Oryctolagus cuniculus: one gene and its partner. The protein of the gene in region 1 interacts with the protein of each later gene in a biochemical or structural test. Links are inferred from orthologs where the notes say so. Each region holds a gene or a part of one and is shown in the gene's direction. Other genes may lie near its edges.

Region 1 (4,366 bases):
GGGAAGGCATTGAATGAAAGAAAAAAGAGAGGGAGGTTGATAAAAATAGGAGTAAAGATAACCCCCAAAGGGCCATGTACACAGTTCTGCACAATCAGTTCCATTCTGGTTAGTCGCCATCATCTGCTCTAGGCTTGGTTTCTCCCTGCCCTAGGCTGCTTTTGGGTAAAAAAGCATGCTCAGCTTGTTTTGTCTCTTTGCTGGGCCTAGGAAAGAGAGAGAAGCTTTTTTTTGGGGGGGGGGGTGCGTAGGAAAGAGAAACTCCAGGCTTCTGCTCTTCCTATCTGTTCCAGGGAGATTCTTAAGGGACAGGGCTAGAGATAAAAGATGTGGGAGAGAAAAGGGAAGGTCCCAGTTGATGACAGAAGATACAGGGTGGTTTGATTTTTAAGTTCCCAGGTACTTTTTATTTATATATTTCCTATTTGTAGAGAAACCAAAAAAGGAAAATGATTAGTACGTAGTATGCCTGCGCAAATAGCAAACCCATAACCTACTAACCCCAGGAGATTTTGGCTCCTGTCCTGGGTAGTTTCAGAGCTGTAAGAGGTATGGGGTATGTACGTGGAGAGTCTCCAATTCCAGGATATAGTAATTAGATTCAGAAACCTCTCAGAGAATCCCAAAGCTACCAGTGACCCGGGGATTAGGGAGCCTAACTGGCAGAGAACACGGAAGTGTCTCCAGCTGCGTCTACTACTAGAATAAACCTCATCATTTGAGGTCCATTACATTCTGACATGGCCGCCTTAAATTCTTTCAGACCCAACAGTTCAGGCTTGGAACGTTTTTGAGCCCTTTAAAAGCAAATTAGCAGTTGGGCTAGAATGTGCCTAGAGAGAATGAACCCCAGACAAGTGGTCCAGAGAAAAGGCAGCATGGCCCATGAGAATCTGAAAGTCAATGATGTGGTTCTGCCAATGCAGATTTTTAGTTTGGTTCAGAGTCTTCCCGTTTGGCCGGGTGTAACTGGGGAAGGGGGATGATTACCGCGGAGGACGACCTGGTGTGCTGGGGCTACCAGTTACCGAACTCTCCTGTAAATTACCTTCTAAGCGTGGAGCATGACTGTTTTTTTTTTTTTTGGGGGGGGGGGAGGGTTTGCACATCCTTTTACTGAAGAAAGTTCTGTCTGTGGATGAGCACTGTGGGGCAATGGAGAAAAAAAAAAAATCTGTCCTCTAAGCATCCTAACGGTGGTCTGTCCCCTCGCGGGCCAGCTGTCCCGTCCTCCGCCGGGGCGGGAAGGAGAGTGTTTCGGTCCACGGATTCGGGTGAGCCCTTTAAATCCAGCCTCCCCGCCCCCACCTCCCCGTTGCCTCTCTCTGACAGGTGTTTTCCCAACTCTGGAGGCTGAGGATTTTGGGGAGTGGCTGAGCCAATAAGATCTCCCTTTTTGGGGGGGGGGAAGGGCGTGGCCAGCTGGGTCAGAGCAGGGGCGGGGTTTGTGCCGCTGAGCCGAGCTTGCCTGGTTGCGTGGAGGGTTGTTTTATCCCCCCCCCCCCACCGTCCCCACCGCCCCCCACCTTTTTTTTATTTATTTCGGAGTCTTATTAATTTCTCTGTGGGGCTGCAGCTGGAGACCGCGGAGCGTTGGAAATGACGCTCGGAGCTTTAATTACCGCAGCCGCTGGACAAGTGTGAGGAAAGCTGACAGGAACAAGGACAGGATCGGGGGAGACGCCAGCAGCTCCCCCCGCCTCCCGATTTGGACTGGAGGTGCAAGGAAACTGAAAAGGGAGCCGAACATAGCCCGGCTTGGGGGGGGAGAGGCCGGAAACCTACCGCCTCTTTGCAATCAACTTTTTTTGGAAACCTTTCTCTCCCCTTCCTTTTTATTGTTGACCAACCAGTGAGAGAGAGAAAGTGAAGAGAGAGCGAGAGCGCGAAGCTCCCACGGGGAAAATAGCTGCACAGTCCGCCCGGAGCAGCCCGCGCCACCCGGGAGCGCTCCCCGGCGCGCTCCGCGACGCCCACTCCTCTACGGCCGGCCCGGCCCTGGGCCCGCGGGCGCGGACTCGGTCGCCCGCGCTGGGGAGCCGCTGGACCGCGCGCGCCGCGCCCGCCCCCTCGCGCCCCCACTCGCGTCGGACTGGGGGAATCTCCTCCGCGTGCCCGAAAGGGGCTATGCCAGTTGGACATGTAATTGTCAGCACGGGACCTGAGACTTCCAAAAAATGAAGCTGGCGACAGGACTGTGGGTCTGGGTGAGCCTTCTCGTGGCGGCGGGGACCGTCCAGCCCGGCGCTTCTCAGTCAGGTGGGTCGCGCTCCTTCTCGCGCTCCAGCAGTTGAACCTGTCGCCGCCGCCGCCGCCGGCTAGGCTGCCTCGGTGGCTCCCCTGCCGTCTTTGCCCACCCCGACCCCGGCTCGCCCCCAGGCGCGGAGGGACCCCTGGACTGGGGCCTCTGGCACCGGCTCCCGGTCACCCCTTTCTTTCTCCATCCTAAACTTACCCTGTGTGTATGTGCGCGGGCGCGCAAGTGTTTTATTTATCGTGAAAAATTACTCTGCACCCCATGACCCTTTCCCCCCCTCTCTCCTTAAGCCACCTTCTTTCTCCCTCGCGTGTTTTCCCTGTGCCTAAGCGGGCTCGCTGCTAGTCGCGCCTGTTGTTCGGACGCGGGAGACCCAGACCCTCAGCCAGAGGAGCCCTCCGGTCTCGGACTCTGTGCCCTCAAGGCAACAAGCCGCAAAGGAAGGCGCACCGCAGGAGCCTGGGCAGGGCTGGGGTCCCGGGGTGGTGCTGGCCGGGCTGCTCCGCAGCCCGCGGGCTGTGGAGCGTGCAGCTCCGAGAACCAGGCTGTGCACCTGTGTGTGCTCCCTGTGGCCGCTGCGCCCCCAGTCGCCCGAGGTTTGCGGGGTCAGGCACGACTGGAGCCCAGCCTGGGCAGCCTGGAGAGCGCGGCGGGCGGGCGTGCCTCGGCCCGGGCCTGGAACTGCCAGCCTCCTCGGCTGGCGTCCCGGAGTCCCTCGCCCCATTGACTCGAGGGGTGCTTGCTTGCATGCCTGTCCTATTAAAAAAAATTAAAAGAGGCTTGGCACGTTGAGCTAGGAGCCCGGCCTTCCCGTCGGTGGCTGTGTTTGGCTCCGGGAGGAGTTCTTCCTGTAGTTCAACTTGCTATTGGCCGGACTCCCTCCAACTTCTCTGTTTACTGCCCGGCCGGGCTGCGGAGCCTGCCGGTCGCGCGAATTGATTTAACCCGAGGCGGGCGCGGCGGCTGCGCTCCCGGGCGCGGTCAGTGTTTGCTGGAGAGCTTGAGCCCCAGGTACCTGGACAGGCAAAGGGCTAATTGACCCCGAGGGGCCGCGCAGGGGGCTGGCGCGCCGCAGCGGGCAGGGCTAATGACAGCAGCACCTGCAGGGACAGGGGAGCTCTAAGTTTCCAACACTGGGAGTTTCCTGGGGATGACCTGGGGACTGGAAAGGAATGAGGAGAACCGGTGTCTGACGCGGCCAAGGTGGGGGGTGGTGGTGGTGGTGGCCTCTGGAGAGCCCGGGGGAGATTTCCGGAGCCGTTTGGGGTTGCTGGCGAGAGCGTGGGAGGCAGCTTGAGGAGATAAAGCCCCTGGGAGTGGCGATAGGGCGAGCTTTAGGCCTCCGGAGGGTGTCCTCCTGACCTCGCCAAGAGAACGGCGGCTCGCGGTAGTTTCCCCGCTCCGCCCCCGCCTCCCCCTCGCTGCCTAGTAAATAACAAGTTCCAATCATGGAGCCTTTCAGAATGACCTTCGCCTGGCACATGTGCGCCGTTTGCACCCTCCCAATTACTCCGAAATTCTTCATGCATACCAGGTCCCGCGCTCCAGCCACCTCGGGAATTGCACCGTCTCGAGATTCCAAGCGGCCTCTTAGATACATCCCTTTTTATCTGCCTCCCCACTCCCAGTCCCTTCATATTTTCCCTCAATGGGTTGATTATGCACATTGACCCATTCAAAAACAGTTGCGACCGACAGGCAGGCTGAGGCGGGAGGAATTTCTAGGAGGCGACCTACTGGGGGCTGTCTGGTTCAGCCTCTGCCGCTGGAGGACCCGCTCCCGGTACGCAGCAATTTGGTATTAACTGTGCGGCGCGGGGCTGAGCTATTCCGAAAAGCCCTTTTCAGAATTTCTGCAAGGAATGTAATCCAAATTAGTTCTGCAGCTGTCCTCTTCCTCGTCTCAGGCGACACCAGCTCTTGCCCTCGCTCGTCTCTTCTCCTTTCCCTGGGCGAATTGTCAGACCCACAAGTGAGCCCATTTAGAGCGCGAGGATTAGCGTGCCATTGTTGTTCCGAGTGTGACTCTGTACTTGAAATTCTGGGGGCACAAAGGAGAGCCTCACTTGTTCAGAACACAAAGTGATCCAGATGAAAGGGCCGCACAAA
Region 2 (3,642 bases), on another chromosome or scaffold:
GCTCCCAGGTGTGGCCTGACCCAGTCCCAGTGCCGACCATTGTGGGCATTCTGGGAGTGAACCAGAGGACAGGAGCTCCCTCTGTGTGTGTGTCTCTCTGCCTCTGAAATAAACTAAAAACCAAAGCGCCATGCCTGGGTGCACTGCTGGGCTCTGCGGACCACGTCCCAGCCTTCCGCTTGGCATCACAAGCAGCTCCCTAGAGACCTTGCTGCCAGGTGAGCGCCACGGGGAGGAGCCACTGGGCAGTACAGAGCGGGTAAAGGAGGCTGATGCCGCGGGGCTGGGAGGGTGCTGAGGCGCGACTTCACTCACACGCGCAAGAATGACGTTCCAGAAGCTCCCACAGGTGAACACACTGATGCGCATAAAGGCTCTCGGTGCCCAAAAATACGCCAGGATTTTAAGCTGTGAGAATGAGGGAAGTAGGAAGACACTGCAGAAGGTGAGGAGCCCTCAGGCTTCTCAGGAGCTCTGGCAAATCAATAAGCCGAGCACTCGGTAAAGAAACAGACCACAGGCGTGAACCGGCGACTGCATAGGAAGAAACACAGCAGACCGATGCACTTGTGAAAAAAGTCAGCCTCACCAGTAATGCACGTAGTGCAAATTGAAACTAACAAATCGACGCTATCTTTTGCCTGGCTAATTGGCCGAGATGAGAGGCATGATAAGGGCTCCTGTTGGGGAGGATGTAGGAAGAACAGGCTCTGCCATCCACTGGGGGCAGTGCAGCTGGGTGCAGCCTCCCCCAGGGGTGTTGGCAGCATGCGCAGAGCAGATTTGCACCCCCTTTGACGCAGCACTTCTGCTTTGAGCAAGATCGCCGTAGGAAATAATTGTGGCTAGCAATAGCAGTAATAGCCGGCCCTCATTAGCTGCTGCATCTGCGCCAGGTGCTCCGTGCATCATCTCATGGAATCCTCGCAGCCCTCACCCCCTGAGGGAGCAGCTATTATTTACCACCTGTGTGTTGCCAAGGAGGGCGCTGAGGTGCCAACGCAGCAAGCCTGTGGACACGGCCCCAGGACCCAAAGCTCACAGTTGCAAAGCTCAGACTTGAACGCCTAGAGCAGAGGGGTGCTGGGAGGTGTGTGGTTATGCACCTATGAGGAGGTTCCCCCTGGGTCATGTGTGATGGAGGGAGGGGGCTTGCTGACTGCCCCACAGCAGGAATGCACTATTTAATTATGGGGCACGTGCCCCAGGAACATTACGCAGTCATGAAAAAGGATGCCCTGAAAACCACATGTGTGCGTAGCCGAGGGTAGGGGGGTTGTGACTAACAGATCTCTGAGGGGTGTAAAGAGAGCTGATAAAGTCAGTTCGCCCTTAGGAGGCAGTCACGTGGCTGTCGTCAGAAGTTGCAGGGAGACTTGTTTGATAAGCCGTGTACCCTTCTGCACGTCCACCATTAGTCAGGTCAGAGAATTTGTTCCACATAACTTTATTTCCTTGAAATGCTGCTAAGGGTTCCAAGAAAAACAGTGTCAAGGTCCTTGCTTGGAGCATCTTATTGAAGTGGATAAAGATGCTTCCTGGCCCGGGCTCACGCACATGTTCTCCAAACCAGATTGCTCACGGAACCCGTTTCTCAAGCAGCGTCTGTTTTCATCTCCAGAAACTCATGACTTAGAGATCTCATTGTGGGGAAATGCTCCTATTAATATTCAACACCAAGGTGAAAGGCTTACATTGTTTCGTTAAATGAAAGAAACATGTTGCTAGCACTGATCCCACTGTGTGTGTGTGTGTGTGTGTGTGTGTGTGGAGAGAGAGAGAGAGAGAGAGAGAGAGAGAGAGAGAGAGGCAGGCGGAGGCAGCGAGGGAGGGAAAGGGAGAGAGAGTTCTGAGCACTGGGATCACATTGATTTTCTTTTGATCTTCTGTAGTCTTTCCCTCCCGACGTGAGCGGAGCTGTGCTGCCTGTATGGTGTGCTCCTAAGGCGGGCTCCCTGCTCTCTCCGTGCCCTGCAGCCATCCCATCTCCTGCCCACTTCCCAGACCCTGGAGCTCTCAGAGCCTCAGCTTCAGCGGCAGGCAGTGGGACGGTGCTTGGGACAGTGAGCGCGTGCAGGAAGGCGTGCACCTGCTGAGGGGGGCTGTGCCCATGGGGTTTATCACACAGCCCAGCAGGGAGCTCTGGCTTGCCCTCACCTTTTTCCTTTTACTTGTTTGTCTTTGTTTAGTTGATGGGGAGAGGAGCAAGGAGGTGATGCCTGGCAGTCTGTGATGCCTGGCAGACTGGGCTGTGTGCAAATTGCAGGGAGTTTAAGGAAAGCCGGGGAAGCCTGCAGCTTGGCACAGGTGGTTTTGCATCAGTAACAGGTCCTGTGTCCGCCAGTGCCATCCAGGCCTTGCCCCCCATCTCACCCACCCACGTCAGCCATGGCGCCCCCTGTGCCTGGCTCGCCTTCCTCCATCCTCCCTCCCAGCCCTTACCTCTGAGCAGAGAGAGTGCTGCCCCGAGCCTGGCCTGGGCACACCCTGCAGTGACAGCAGTGCCGGTCACAGCCGCTCTGCCTGAGAGTGGGAGCTGAGGTGTCCTCTCGGTCCACCTGTGCCCTCTGGGCATGGCGCAGGCCTGGGCATCCGGGACAAGAGTTAGATCGTGAGAACGAAGTCGAGGAGACCTGGCTTTGAATCGTTTCATTGCCCGCCCCCTTAGGCAAGAGACCTGACCGTGCTGAGCCTCAGCGTCCCCGCCTGTGAACGAGTTCAATCATTGCAGTGAAATCGCGGGCTTACTGCGCTGCTTTCCTAAGCTGGCAGGCACAGGGCCACTTCCTGAGCAGCAGCTACCTGGATAGCACTGCAGATGAGAAACGCGCCCGGGGGCGGGCCCTCAGCCCTCACCTCGCTCCCTGCCTCTTCCAGCCCAGCCCAAGGACAGGGCCCCACACCCCCCTTCGCTCACGCTTGGCACTGTGCCCACCTCCACCACACTCACCCATCTGCCTTGTGCCCCACAGCCACCCGGCCGAAGCTGAAGAAGATGAAGAGCCAGACAGGACAGGTGGGTGAGAAGCAGTCACTCAAGTGCGAGGCAGCAGCCGGGAACCCCCAGCCCTCCTACCGGTGGTTCAAGGACGGCAAGGAGCTCAACCGTAGTCGTGACATCCGCATCAAGTACGGCAACGGCAGGTGAGCAGCGTCCGGGCGCCCTCTCCTCCCGGCAAGGAGGGGCCTGGGCTGGGCAGAGCCCCGGCTGCAGCCCCGAGCTGTGTGGCCACGGGGCTCATCCCACTGCCTCTCCATCCCCTCCCCCACTCCTGCCCACACCCAGCCTTCTTGCAGCTCTGGACCCCCTGGGAAGGTTCTAGGCAAGAATTAAGTGATTAACAGCTCTGAAGGTCAAAGGCAATTTGATTGTCAAGGTCAGCTTTGCTAGTGGAAGTTCTTACCTGCCCCTTAAACTTTCCTCAGGAGACCTGTCCCAGGGTCTAAAAGCCCGGTCATCTAGAATCCTCAGTGACAGCCCTGGCTGCCGTACACCTCTCCCCGCCAACCACCTGGGGTGCTGGTTTCTCGGTTTCCCAAACTGCTGATTGCCAGAGAGCTTGGACGGGAGTTGGGAGTGTGTCTTGGCAACAGTGGCCCCGCAGCCCAGCACGGAAGCAGGCTCCAGGGAAGTAAAGCAGA

The links.
Region 2: the proteins of ERBB4 (region 1) and NRG2 form a complex in vitro, tested with the Homo sapiens proteins (2 studies listed by BioGRID). The link is inferred for Oryctolagus cuniculus from reciprocal best matches to the Homo sapiens genes ERBB4 and NRG2.

The regions. Positions count from the first base shown.
Region 1 is NC_091434.1:26,982,463-26,986,828, forward strand, and holds the start of ERBB4 (receptor tyrosine-protein kinase erbB-4), read left to right. Parts: upstream 1-1,492; 5' UTR 1,493-2,177; coding exon 2,178-2,259; intron 2,260-2,266; exon of another isoform or gene 2,267-4,366. UniProt on the Homo sapiens protein: Tyrosine-protein kinase that plays an essential role as cell surface receptor for neuregulins and EGF family members and regulates development of the heart, the central nervous system and the mammary gland, gene transcription, cell proliferation, differentiation, migration and apoptosis.
Region 2 is NC_091437.1:27,537,021-27,540,662, reverse strand, and holds part of NRG2 (pro-neuregulin-2, membrane-bound isoform), read left to right. Parts: intron 1-2,972; coding exon 2,973-3,144; intron 3,145-3,642. UniProt on the Homo sapiens protein: Direct ligand for ERBB3 and ERBB4 tyrosine kinase receptors. Concomitantly recruits ERBB1 and ERBB2 coreceptors, resulting in ligand-stimulated tyrosine phosphorylation and activation of the ERBB receptors.